Linked DNA regions of Macaca fascicularis. The protein of the gene in region 2 interacts with the protein of the main gene of each other region in a pairwise test. Links are inferred from orthologs where the notes say so. Each region holds a gene or a part of one and is shown on either strand. Other genes may lie near its edges.

Region 1 (5,593 bases), on a different chromosome or scaffold from region 2:
CTCCCCCACCTTTCCTCGCTGGGTGACCTTGAGCAAGTTACTTGGCCTTTCTGTGCCTCTGGCTCCCGCATGAAAAATGTGGACAATAAACGTACCAGGCTGTGGCTGGGTGCGGTGGCTCACGCCTGTAATCCCAGCACTTTGGGAGGCCGAGGTGGGCGGATTACCTGAGATCAGGAGTTCAAGACCAGCCTGGCCAACATGGTGAAACCCTGTCTACTAAAAATACAAAAAATGAGCTGGGTTCAGTGGCGTGCGCCTGTTAACTCCAGCTACTCTGGACCCTGTGGCAGGAGAATCACTGGAACCTGGGAGGCGGAACTTGCAGTGAGCTGAGATCACACCACTGCACTTCAGCCTGAGCTACAGAGTGAGACTTCGTCTCAAAAAAAAAACAAAAAAAAACAAAAAAAAACTACCACGCTGCTTGGTAAGGATCTTGTGAGGTCAGAGTCCTAGTCATGCCAGGTGGTTACTGTTGATGATCCCCGCCCACCCTGGGCTCTCACCACCTCAGGGCCCTGGGTCTTGCGGCTGCCTCTGCCTGAGAAACACTTGTCCCTACTGTACCCCAACCCCTGCCTCCCCCCACCAATTCTGCTTCTAGTCCGTCTGCCCCCCTAGAAGGTGAACAAACACCTGATGGACTTCTGTTTCCACTGTTGAGTCCTCAGTGTGCCTGGTGTCCTGGGAGAGAGGTCGCCCCTCGCCCCAAACCAGGTCAAACAGGAGACTATCATGTGAGCAGATCCAGACACTGGCCCCTACAGATGCCCCTATCCTGGCTCTCAGCCTGGGCAGGGTCTGTGCCAGGTGCTGGCTGGAGGCTGGATGAGATGACCAGATAGCCTGCCACACTGATGTCCTTCACTGGGAGCCTCAGTTCCTCTCAGCCACCCTTTCCCCAGGCTCCCAGCCACTTCCCCTTGTGGATTCCGGGCAGACTTCGTTCACCCGGTTCACTGGAGCCAGGCCACCTGAAGTCAACTTCCCTCCCTCCTCAGCCTCCCCAGGAGTGACCTGTACCCCAGTCCATCCTGCTCCACCCCTCATGGCCTCCATTCCCCCTTCTCCCTCTACCCATTCCATCCCTGCTGGCCCCCACAAGAGGATGGGTCCAGGTTTTGGGGGTTCTGAAGTAAACAACATGGGACCCATCCTTAAAGAATACAAAAAGCAATGCAAAATTATGTGAAGAGTCCACCGCCCCCTTGAGCAATGGCAGCTCTGGGGCTGAGGAAAGTCAGGGCAGGGGATGCCACGCACTGCTGCCCCATCCCCGGGGCCTGGTCAGGCAGGAGGGGGCCTTTCCTGACCCTGAATCGCTTGGAGGCAGACCCTCCTCCTGAGCACCATCTGGTAGGGACCCTCTACTCCTGCCCCAGCCCCCATGACAGCCTTGGACCCTTCGGTTCCTGCTGCTGGGACATCCCTTCCCTTTGATCTCAGCCCAAGCAAAACTGCCTCTAGCACCATTCCGGGTGCCCTAAGCAGCCCTTCCCAGCTTTGGCCTTAGTTATTGCCGGTCAGGCCTGGGGTGAGGTGTGGGTGTGAGGTCTTGGCCCCTGAATCTTCAGGGTCATATCTGGGGCCTGCCCTGAGAAATTGCACAACCTGTCAGCTGAAGGAAACCACAGCCCTGGTTTTGTTTTCTCATCTCTGAAATGGGGAAGCTCTCCTGCAGGCAGTGCCCAGGCCCAGGGTAGACAAAGGGTTTCCATGCCACAGACGGGGCAGCTGCTGGAGCTCCTACACAGTGGGACACGCGAAGGGCGCCTGCTGTGTGACCTGGGGCCCACGACAGTCACTGGATGCCTCTGCAGAAGCGGGTGACTGCCTCTATTCTAGAAGATTCTACCGAGGCCTGGCTCAGTGCCTGGCTTGTGTGTGTGCCATCTAGATCAAGCATTATTATGCTAATGATCATATCCAAAAACTCAGCTCAAGCATTATTATGTTAATGATCTTATCCGCCCCCCTCTCCCCCCTAAAGAAAAAGAACTAGGCAGCTCAAGGCCGCTTCTGTGGGTGTGGCTGGTGGTCACTTCAAAACAGTTGGGTTTGCAAAATAACCCGGGGAGAAGTTACAGAGCTTAAGAAATCCCCCAAGTTCCCATGATCCTTGCTTCCCTTTCCAGTCGCCCTTGGTGCCCTGTACTTCACTGTGGTACTGGACAGAAGAGCTGTGTTTTCCAGGAAGACTCGGCCAGGCCGTGTTTCGGGTCTCTGGATTCAGGTCCCAGGAGTCCTGACCAGAGAGCAGGTATGCGGGTGTGGGGAAGGACTGCAGGGGACTCAGGTCCACACCGACCCTGGGTCAGGTGATCCACATAGGAATATAAACAGGGACTGAACCTCAGAAAACAATGGCTGGGCCAGGTGCAGTGGCTTACGCCTATAATCCTAGTACTCTGGGAGGCCGAGGCAGGTGAAGTTTGAGACCCAGCCTGGGCAAAATGGCAAAACCTCACATCTACAAAAAAAAAAAAATGGCCGAGTGTGGCGGGACCTACCTGTAGTCCCAACTACTAGGGAAGCTGAGGTGGGAGGATCGCTTGCACCTGGGAGGTCAAGGCTGCAGTGAGCCGTGAGTCCCACTGGACTCCGGCCTGGGGGACGGAATGAGACCCTATCTCAGAAAAACAAAAGGGGGGCCGGCAGGTTAGAGCAGCTGGTCGTGTATTGCCAGTTTACTGACAGTGACTCCAGAGCTGAGTGAGAACTGGGCGCATGGCACATTGTTGGGATATCTGAGGCCTGAAGGCGCTGATGAGCAGCCACCAGGTCAGCAAGTGCGGGCTGGGTGGGGCCCGCGGTTCCAACAAACACTACGAAGTCCGCTCCTGTGGCTTCGGCCACCTCCCCCAACTCCCCGGGTCCTCCAGCCTGTGGGGTGCGAAAAACACCACTTCCCGGACCCCTCGAGGAACCCCGGGCCACCAGGGCCTCCCTGCACTGCCAACCTTGGGATCCCAGGCGCACACCCGAGGCCGGTGGTGGGCGTGCAAGGCGCACCCGGCCGCTAGAGGTGGGCGTGAGGCCAAGCGCGATTCCCCCAGGCGCAGGGCCGCCCTCCCCGCCTCGACGGACAGCCCCGAGGGAGCGCAGCGCTGCCGCAGCTGCTCCAAGATTCGGTCCCCAAATCCGGCTCGGTCCCCAAATCCGGCTCGGTCCACACCGTGTCACAGCCCAGTAATTAGGGAATCAGCGGCGGGCGGGGCCGGCTCTCGCGGGGCACCTGCGCTCCCCTGAGCCGGCCCACGTGGTCCGGGAAGTCCCGCCCGCGGTGGCGGTGAGTGGGGGCGGGACGCCGGCCAAGGGCTGGGGTCAGAAGGTCGGGGGAGCCTAGGCGTAGACGTGACGGGCGAACCGGGAGGCGCCCTCCGGACGCGGCAGGTGAGTGGGGACGGGAGCCGCGGGCCGCCCTCCTCGGGGCGCCGACCCCTGCCTGCCCGAGTCGCGGACGCCCGCCTCGGTCCCCGCTGCCCGCCTCCGCTCCCGGGCCACCGCTCTCCACCGCGGTTCGCCCCTCCTCCCCGCCGCCCGCCCCTTCCCCGCCACGTCCGCCGCCTCCCGCCCGCGCGGGGTATCCCGGCGCGAGTGGGACCGGGCGGACCCGCGGGACGACCCACGTGAGCGGCGGCGCGGCAGGGCGCGTGCGTGGAGGGTGCGCCTGCGCACTGGGCGGGCGCGGCCCGCGTTGCTGGTCGGCGGCGCCGGCGCCGGGGTCCGGGCGGCCATGGGGCAACGGGCGGCCGGGGCGCCCGGGGCCAGGTAGCGACGGCAGGCGGCGGCGGGGCGGCGGGGCCTGCGGGTTCGGTCCGGCATGTAGACGCCCCCGCAGGCGCCCGCGGCGGCGAACGGTGAGTGAGCAGCCCCGGCCCGCCGTCCGCCTGGGGTCGCCCGCCGCCTGGGGTCATCGCTGCCCGGGAGCGCGCGGCCGGGCGGGGAGACACCGGGCCGGCCCTGCCCATCTGGCCTGCGGAGGACGCCGTGGAAGCGCTGCCGGGCCGCCGCTCGGTCCTGAACGGGGCGCCAGCACGGCCCAGGGCGAGGCTCGGCCTTGGGGACGGGTCTGAGGGAGGCCGCTGTCCGGCCTGGCTCTCCCGGGCGGAGAAGGTGGGGCCGTCCAGCCCGGACCGCGCTCGTCGGTCGCCGCTGCGTGGGCGGCCAGGCCCTCGGTGTCCGCCTTCCGTGAGTGGTTTCAGCAAGCAGGAGGGGTCTTTGACTCGTGAAAGCTTAGAGGGGCCCACACCTAGTGGGAAAGTAGGAATAAAGGGTTCTATACAGCAGTATTGGCGTGGGATTCTCTAAATAAACACATCTTTGATTTAGTGCCCAGTACTTGCCAGAAAATTCCAATAGTCTATGGTGATGTTCCTACAGGCGGCTGCCGTCCAGTAGCCCAGATGTCAGCACCGGCCTTGAGCTCTAGGTCATCGTTTTCTTTCTTAATTGTGGGAACAGGGCGTGCCCAGCTCCCAAGGCCTGGTGGAGTTTTCCTTCCCAGGCCAAGGACCACCCCAGCCCTCCCATTCCTCCTCCCGAAGCAATGGAATTCCTTTTGGCTTCAATTCTGAGTAACAAGTTATTTTTCCTTTCTTGTTTGGAACACACTAAGTTTTACATTCAAAAGTTCATTATTCTTGGCTCTTGACGGGAATACATTTCAAAACTCTTCCTGTGTTCCACGTCTCTCTGACCGCCTTAGTTGGCCTGAAACTGGCATGTTTGCCTTAATAAGTTTTATTTTTCCCCTTCTTATGTCATCTGGTCTAAGAAGTAAGTTACTTTAACATCTTGTTAGATAATTCCCTTCAAGTACTGAAATTCCCTTGAACATTGTCCTCCCAAGCCTCTGGAAATTTCTTGCCCGCTTGGAACTTCCGTGTATGGCCTGTTTGTTCTCAGCAATGGCTTCACGGGGACTTTTGCAGCCACTTCATGGCGTTAGCACGCTGGTTCGAAGCTACTTGAAGAATCACAGGTGCCACCGCAGTACCCAACAAAATAGCTTCATCATTTGGAGGTGTCCCCTCGAGGTGTTTCTGTGTGTATATGTGTGTGTGTGTGTTAGAAACAGGGCCTCACTGTGTCCCCCAGGCGTGTTTATAGTGGCATGATTATAGCTCACTGTAACCTCAAATTCCTGGGCTCAATTGATCCTCCCACCTCAGCCTCCTGAGTAGCTGGAATTACAGGCCTGCACCACCACACCTAGCTGATTTATACAATTTTTGTAGAGATAGAGTCTCACTGTGTTGTCCAGGCTGGTCTCAAACTCCTGGCCTCAAGATATCCTTCTGCCTCCACTTCCCAAAGTGCTGATCTTACAGAGGTGAGCCACTTTGACCAGTAGTTTTGTGTTTTGTTTTTTTTTCCAGACGGAGTCTAGCTCTGTCACCCAGGCTGGAGTGCAGTGGCACAATCTCGGCTCACTGCAGCCTCCACCTCCCGGGTTCAAGCGATTCTGCTGCCTCAGCCTCCCAAGTAGCTGGGATTATAGGCGCCCACCACCATGCCCAGCTGATTTTTGTATTTTTAGTAGAGACGGGGTTTCACTGTGTTGGCCAGGCTGGTCTGGAATTCCTGA
Region 2 (5,857 bases):
CTCACTATGTTGCCCAGGCTGGCTTCAAACTCTTGCCTTCAAGCGATCCTCTTGCCTTCAAGTGATCCTCCTGCCTCAGCCTCCCAAGGCACTGGGATTACAGGTGTGAGCCACCGTGCCTGGCCAAAGTTTTCTTTTTTTTTTGAGACAGTCTGCCCAGGCTGGAGCTCAGCTCACTGCAACCTCTGCTTCTGGGGTTCAAGCGATTCTCCTGCCTCAGCCTCCTAAGTATCTTGGATTACAGGCATCTGCCAACATGCCCGGCTAGTTTTTTGTATTTTTAGTAGAGACGGGGTTTTGCCATGTTGGCCAGGCTGGTCTCGAACTTCTGACCTCAAGTGATCCACCTGCATCAGCCTACCAAAAAGTGTTGGGATTACAGGCGTGAGCCACTGTGCCTGGCCACTTAAAAAAAAAAAAAAAAAAAAAAAACATTCCTACCATGATTCAGCCAGGCTGAGGGGAAATGAAAAAAAGGTTTGGTCTGGTGTGGGCTGAAGCTGTGAAAAGGCAGAGGCAGGAGAGCCGGGGGAGGGGTCTGTGCCAGGGAGGCTCAAGGAGAGAGCAGAGGCAGCACCTGCAGCCCGTCCCACGTGAAGTTCCTCTGGGGCCACCCGCTGCCCAACCCTTGGAGGACTCAGAGCTGTGTTTCATTAGGGATGGGTCCCCTCCGAGTCACATCCCGGGCCAGCAGGCCAGCTGGAAGGAGCCCCGGGGGCCATGCTGGACAGCAGACTGGCCCACACTGTCAGTGCACTGGGAAAGGCATGGGCAGCTGTGGGTAACACGATGGGAACAGCAGCTCTTGGACAGCAGTCCCCAACACTTGCTCCCCACAGAAACGTTTAGGCAGGGAGGCAAGGTAAGTAACACCTCTTTACTCAGCAAGGGGCTCCTCCCTCAGGACACCTTCCCCAGTGCCCCTCCAGGCTCCAAGAGCCTGGAAGGATCAGGATGCAGGCCTTTCCCAAGGAGGGCACAGAGCATGAGGAGGAGATGCCACTGGTGGTACAGAAAGCTCCCCATCCCCCTGGGGAGAGGTGTCAGTGTGCCCTCAGGGTTGTGAGGTCCTGAGCTTTGGACTCCTTGCTTGGTTAAAGGCACTGTCCCTTGTGCAATGTAGAGGAATGCTCCTCAAAGCATCTCTCCCGGGAACCAGGAGAGCCGCCCCTGCTCCCAATGCAACAAGATCCCTGATCGCCAGCTTCTTGCCTCCCTCAGAGAGAGACATGTCTGCACTGGAGGGAGCATGGCTGCCTAGCTCCTTGTCACCTCCTCCACCTCCCTATCTGTTCACTGGGACAACAGAGGATCCCTGAAGCCGCTTGAGGAGCTGGCTTTGCAGGTCTTCCTCAGTCACCTTCCACCAAAAGAAGTTCTCACCCCGAATCTTTGGGGGTTCATCCTGGATCCCTGGGCTCCGAAAAGCCACAGTCACCAGCACATTCAGACAGATACCATCACTGTGATCTCGGCCCAGGTGCTGCAGTCCAAGCAACCCCTTGATCTCCACCACCAAGTGGTGCAGGGTCAGACACTCCTGCAGCAGCCGCAGGATGGCCATCTTCATGCCACCCCTCTGCTCCACAGGGTCGAGGCCACAGGCAGTGACAGGCAAGTGAGGCATCCCCACTGTGCCCACCAGCACCCACACTGTCTGGGTGCTGGTAAAGGTGACCACAAGCCGCTGGCAGACCAGATCACAGGGTAGCTCTTGCGGCAGAATGAGAGGGTGCCTGGCTTGCTGGCGATACTGGGCAGCTAGCTCAACCAGGTGCAGGATGTCATGGGCTCGCAGCGGAGTGGGCAGGGAGCTCCGTGGGTACCAGGCAGCCTGCAGGGACTCTGCATCGGCCTCCTTGGAAGTCTTGAGAATTCCACCTGGGGGAAATGTGGGGGATGGGGCAGGGACAGGCTGTGTGGAGAGGAGTGCAGGTGTGGCAGTCACCAGACATCCCTGACCCAGAAGAGAGGCCCCCAGCCCAAAGGCTGGAATCTGCCCATGCCAGGCTGTGCCAGTCATAACAGGACTGGCTGTGGAGGGGCTCACTTCACCGAGGAGCTGGGGGAAAGGTGTCAACTGGCCCTGTTCACACTGCCTCCAGGTGGGCCATACCTGTGGGGTGAGCGAGGAACACGAAGCGGACCCAGGAGGGGCCCCGCTCCTCCACGGACAGCAGTGTCTCGGGCTCACAGTGCAGCCCCGCCTCCTCCTTCACCTCCCGCTGCAGCGCCTCCACGATGGTCTCCCCCGGCTCCATTCTCCCCGCAGGCAGGTACCACGACCCCCGGCACTCCCTCTTGGCCTCCTGGATCAGTAGCACCTCATCCTGAGGGGACAGAGGATCCTCACTTCCTGCCACAGCCTTCCCTCCCCGGGGACCAGGGGACACCTCAAACACAGTCGCCCGAGACTCCCCTCTGGGTGGACACCCTCAATCCGGCTAGCGCTCCAGTAGACCTGCCCTCGTGTAGCTGGGGGCTGCAGCCCTCTCCTCCCTGCAATTCGTCCCTCTCTGGATTTAGGAAGACTTCCATTTCAGGAAGGGCTGAGATTCGTGGAAGCTGCTTCAGGGGCTGGAGATGAGGCCCCAGAGTGAGGGTCACCATGTGTCTTGCACTGATTTGCGTCTGTACATGTCACTGTGTATCTCTCGCCTCCAACGGCGTGGTTTACAAACTGTGATGGGTCCTCACACTGGGATCTGGCTTTGAAACACGACCCCCCACCTCCACTCTGTACAACCCTGCCCTATGGCCCTGGCCCCTTCTAGTTGTCATTACATCGCCTACTACAGGGATCAGCACCAAAGGCCTAAGGGTAAACACGGATTGAGCCACTGCTACCCGGGGGACCCTGGGCATTCCGCTAGACTCTGGGGAAGGGAAGGAATGAGCCCTAGTGGGATGAGACAAACAGGTCCCGGGCCTCAGTTTCCTCTAATGCATATCGGGACGAACGCAGGACACAGATGCGAGTGGGAGTGGGAGTGCTTTGCAAAACTGGGGAGCGCCACGCACGCGGCAGCGCTGGCTGTGGCCGTTGGGTCTTCTGTCCCCACCTGGGCTGGCTGCGCGCTCCCGAGGCCCGGCGGGCCCGGCGGGCGGCCGCTCACCTGCTCGCTGAGGAACACGGCCAGCACCACGTAGCACACGTTCTTCCGCAGCCGCACGGGCACCGGCGGCTCCCCGGCCGGCGCCGAGTCGCAGCTCTGCACGCTCGGCCCCTGGCCCGCCAGCACGGCAGCCAGCGCTCCCGTCAGGCCCTCCGAGGCCATCGGGTCCCCCGGGGGGCGGCGGCCTGAGTACTCGCAGACTGGCTGAGCCGAGCCGCGGGCGAGCGTGGGCTCCTGCGCCCTCTCCCAGTCCCTGCGGCAGCAGGCCGGTCCCGCACGAGAACGCGGAAGCGCACGCGAACGCGGAAGCGCACGCGAGCCCTGGCCGCTGATAGGCTGCGCGGCGCCGCAGCCTGCCCGGATTGGCCGGCCCGCGGCAGTCTCCGAAGGGGCGGGGCCACCCGGGGCCGCCGGGCAACTGGGTGGGCGCCGGGCCAGCTCTGGAGGACCCCGCCCGGGTTCTGCCGCCTGTCAGTCCCGCGCGCTCAGGACGTCTCCCAGCCGCCCCCGACTCGCCTACTCCCCGAGCGCGCACTGGTCTGCGGGAGCTCCGACCGTGACGTCATCCTTCCTGCAGGGCGCGTTGCGCCGCAGGGGTAGGCGACTATGACGCGACAAGCCCGGTGACGTTACGGAGGCCCGGGGCCGCCCCTTGGACCCACTGCCCCGCTGTTGCCGTGAACACACGATGGCATTGCCGGAGTTGATCATCTCCCAAGTAACTTTCTTCTCACTCCATTCAAGAGTAATAAATGTCACGTGGCCTGTGGGGAGGGGGACATAAACCCCTGCCTTTAAGGAGATTCTGTTGTAGTTGGAGAGAGAGACGGAGTCCTAGATGAGGAGTCAGCTGAGGGTTCGAGACTAAGTGCTAAATGCTTGGTTTGGGCAGGAAGAGTGACAGGCGCTGGGAGGATGGAAGGGAAGGGCTGGGGATGGCGGGAAGAGTCGGGGGCTGAGAGAGGGCTGCCGTCAGCCGGCCCGTCCTCATCAGTGTCCCTCTGCCCACCGCATTTCCCACGCAGCTCAAGGCCCTCTCCGCTGCAGATGGTGCGCCCGGGGAGGGCGGGGGTGGGGCCCTGCTCCTCCATCCTTGTCGTCACCCTCCCACCTAGCGTGCAGGACCTGGCGCGTGGAGAGCAGGGTGGGGGTTGTTGTGGCGAGAGCCTGCTCCTCTCCCAGCTCTGCCTTTCCTCCTTCACCCGCCCCTCAGAACTGGAAGGCAAGGCCAGCTGGAAGGGATCTGCGAAGCAGGCCGTCTGGCTTCTCACCCGGCAGAGGCCACCCCTTTCTTCTCCCTCGGCTGGTTTTGTGTGCCTCCCTGCTTGATGGTGTGGACAAAGCTCAGGACCTGGAGCCAGATGGCCAGCCGCTGCTGGCTGGCTTGCTCTGTGCTCCTGGGTGAGCTGTGAGCCTCAATTTTCTTATTTGTAGAGTAGGGTCATAACAATTATTGTTTTACAGGGGTGTTGGGAAGGCACGACAATCGGAGAGGAGCTGTGTGGATTGTCCAGTACTGGGCACCGTCCCCAGGCAGCCCACCGACCCTCAGGAGTGGGCCCTCTCCACCACAGCACTTCTTGCTACAACACGCAAGGCCCACCCTCATGAAATGTGCCTTTTGTTACCCCCTAGAGACAGGATTTCACTCTGTTGCTCAGATTGGAGGTGCAGTGGCATGATCACAGATCCTACTACAGCCTTGATCTCTTGGGTTTAAGCTGTCCTCCTGCCCCAGACTCCTGAGTAGCTGGGGCTGCAGGTGTGCACCACCATGCCCGGCTAAATTTTTAATTTTTAATTTTTATTTCTTTGTAGAAACAAGGGTCTTGCTATATTGTCCAGGCTGGTCTTGAACTCCTGGCCTCACTGATCCTCCTGCCTTGGCCTCCCAAAGTTCTGTGGTTGCAGGCATGAGCCACCATGCCTGGTGAAATGTGCCTGTAGAGCTGCCTTAGAATTGGACTGAGGAACTTCAGCAACGCAGGATGTGTTTCTTTAGACTCCTCTCACCTGCTGATACCACAGGCTCCCTGGAGGCAGGGCCCCGTGTTAGGCTGTGGGATATCCCTACAAGGCCCATGAATTTTGAGGCACTTGCTGAATGCAGCTGGGCCAAGCCCTATCCTGGACCTCTCACCTCCCAAATAACTGCAGGCACGGGACCCCAGGACTGCAGAGCAACTTATCAACATATTTGCTCTGTGTGTGTGTGTGTGTGTGTGTGTGTGTGTGTCTTGTGCGTGCCCGCACATGTGTGAATCCCTCAGTTTTCCCACCTGTGAAGTGGGGGCAGGTTGGTCCCAGACTCCTGTCTGCCTCGCAGGGATGATTTGAGAGAGTGAGATCATGTCTGGGCAGGGCTCTGGGAGCTTCAGAGGCAGCCTAAGGTAAACAACAGAAAGCCTCACTGCCCAGAGAGCAGAGACCGCAGCAAACCATGGCTCCATGCCTCCCATTATCCCGGGGGGGAAAGCCCTCCCCAAAAGCCCCTTGTAAACTGGGAAGGGAGTGCTGAGACAACAGAGAGGCAGGCGTTCCCAAGGCCTTGGGAGAGAACAGCAGCCAGACAGAGGCTGGAGAGGCGCCGAGACAAGGGAGGCAGCTGAGGGAGGACGGGAGGCTGGATAGGAACCACCAGGGTCCCCATCAAGTCAACTGTGTGTCCTCCAGTCCCAGAGAGGGAAGAACCCTGGCCAGTGTGGTGGGCCACACAGCCTGGTGAATGGGAGTAGCCTAAT

Evidence for each region. The genes of interacting proteins can lie anywhere in the genome.
Region 1: the proteins of NUDT18 (region 2) and NADK interact in a two-hybrid assay, tested with the Homo sapiens proteins (2 studies listed by BioGRID and IntAct). The two-hybrid records come from large-scale screens. The link is inferred for Macaca fascicularis from reciprocal best matches to the Homo sapiens genes NUDT18 and NADK.

Annotation. Positions count from the first base shown.
Region 1 is NC_088375.1:233,017,760-233,023,352, forward strand, and holds the start of NADK (NAD kinase), read left to right. Parts: upstream 1-2,136; 5' UTR 2,137-2,263; intron 2,264-3,329; exon of another isoform or gene 3,330-3,396; intron 3,397-3,682; exon of another isoform or gene 3,683-3,863; intron 3,864-4,050; exon of another isoform or gene 4,051-4,194; intron 4,195-5,243; exon of another isoform or gene 5,244-5,338; intron 5,339-5,384; exon of another isoform or gene 5,385-5,593.
Region 2 is NC_088382.1:25,178,724-25,184,580, forward strand, and holds NUDT18 (8-oxo-dGDP phosphatase NUDT18), read right to left. Parts: upstream 3,401-5,857; 5' UTR 3,279-3,400; coding exon 3,117-3,278; intron 2,331-3,116; coding exon 2,117-2,330; intron 1,882-2,116; coding exon 1,286-1,881; 3' UTR 864-1,285; downstream 1-863. UniProt on the Homo sapiens protein: Mediates the hydrolysis of oxidized nucleoside diphosphate derivatives. Hydrolyzes 8-oxo-7,8-dihydroguanine (8-oxo-Gua)-containing deoxyribo- and ribonucleoside diphosphates to the monophosphates. Hydrolyzes 8-oxo-dGDP and 8-oxo-GDP with the same efficiencies.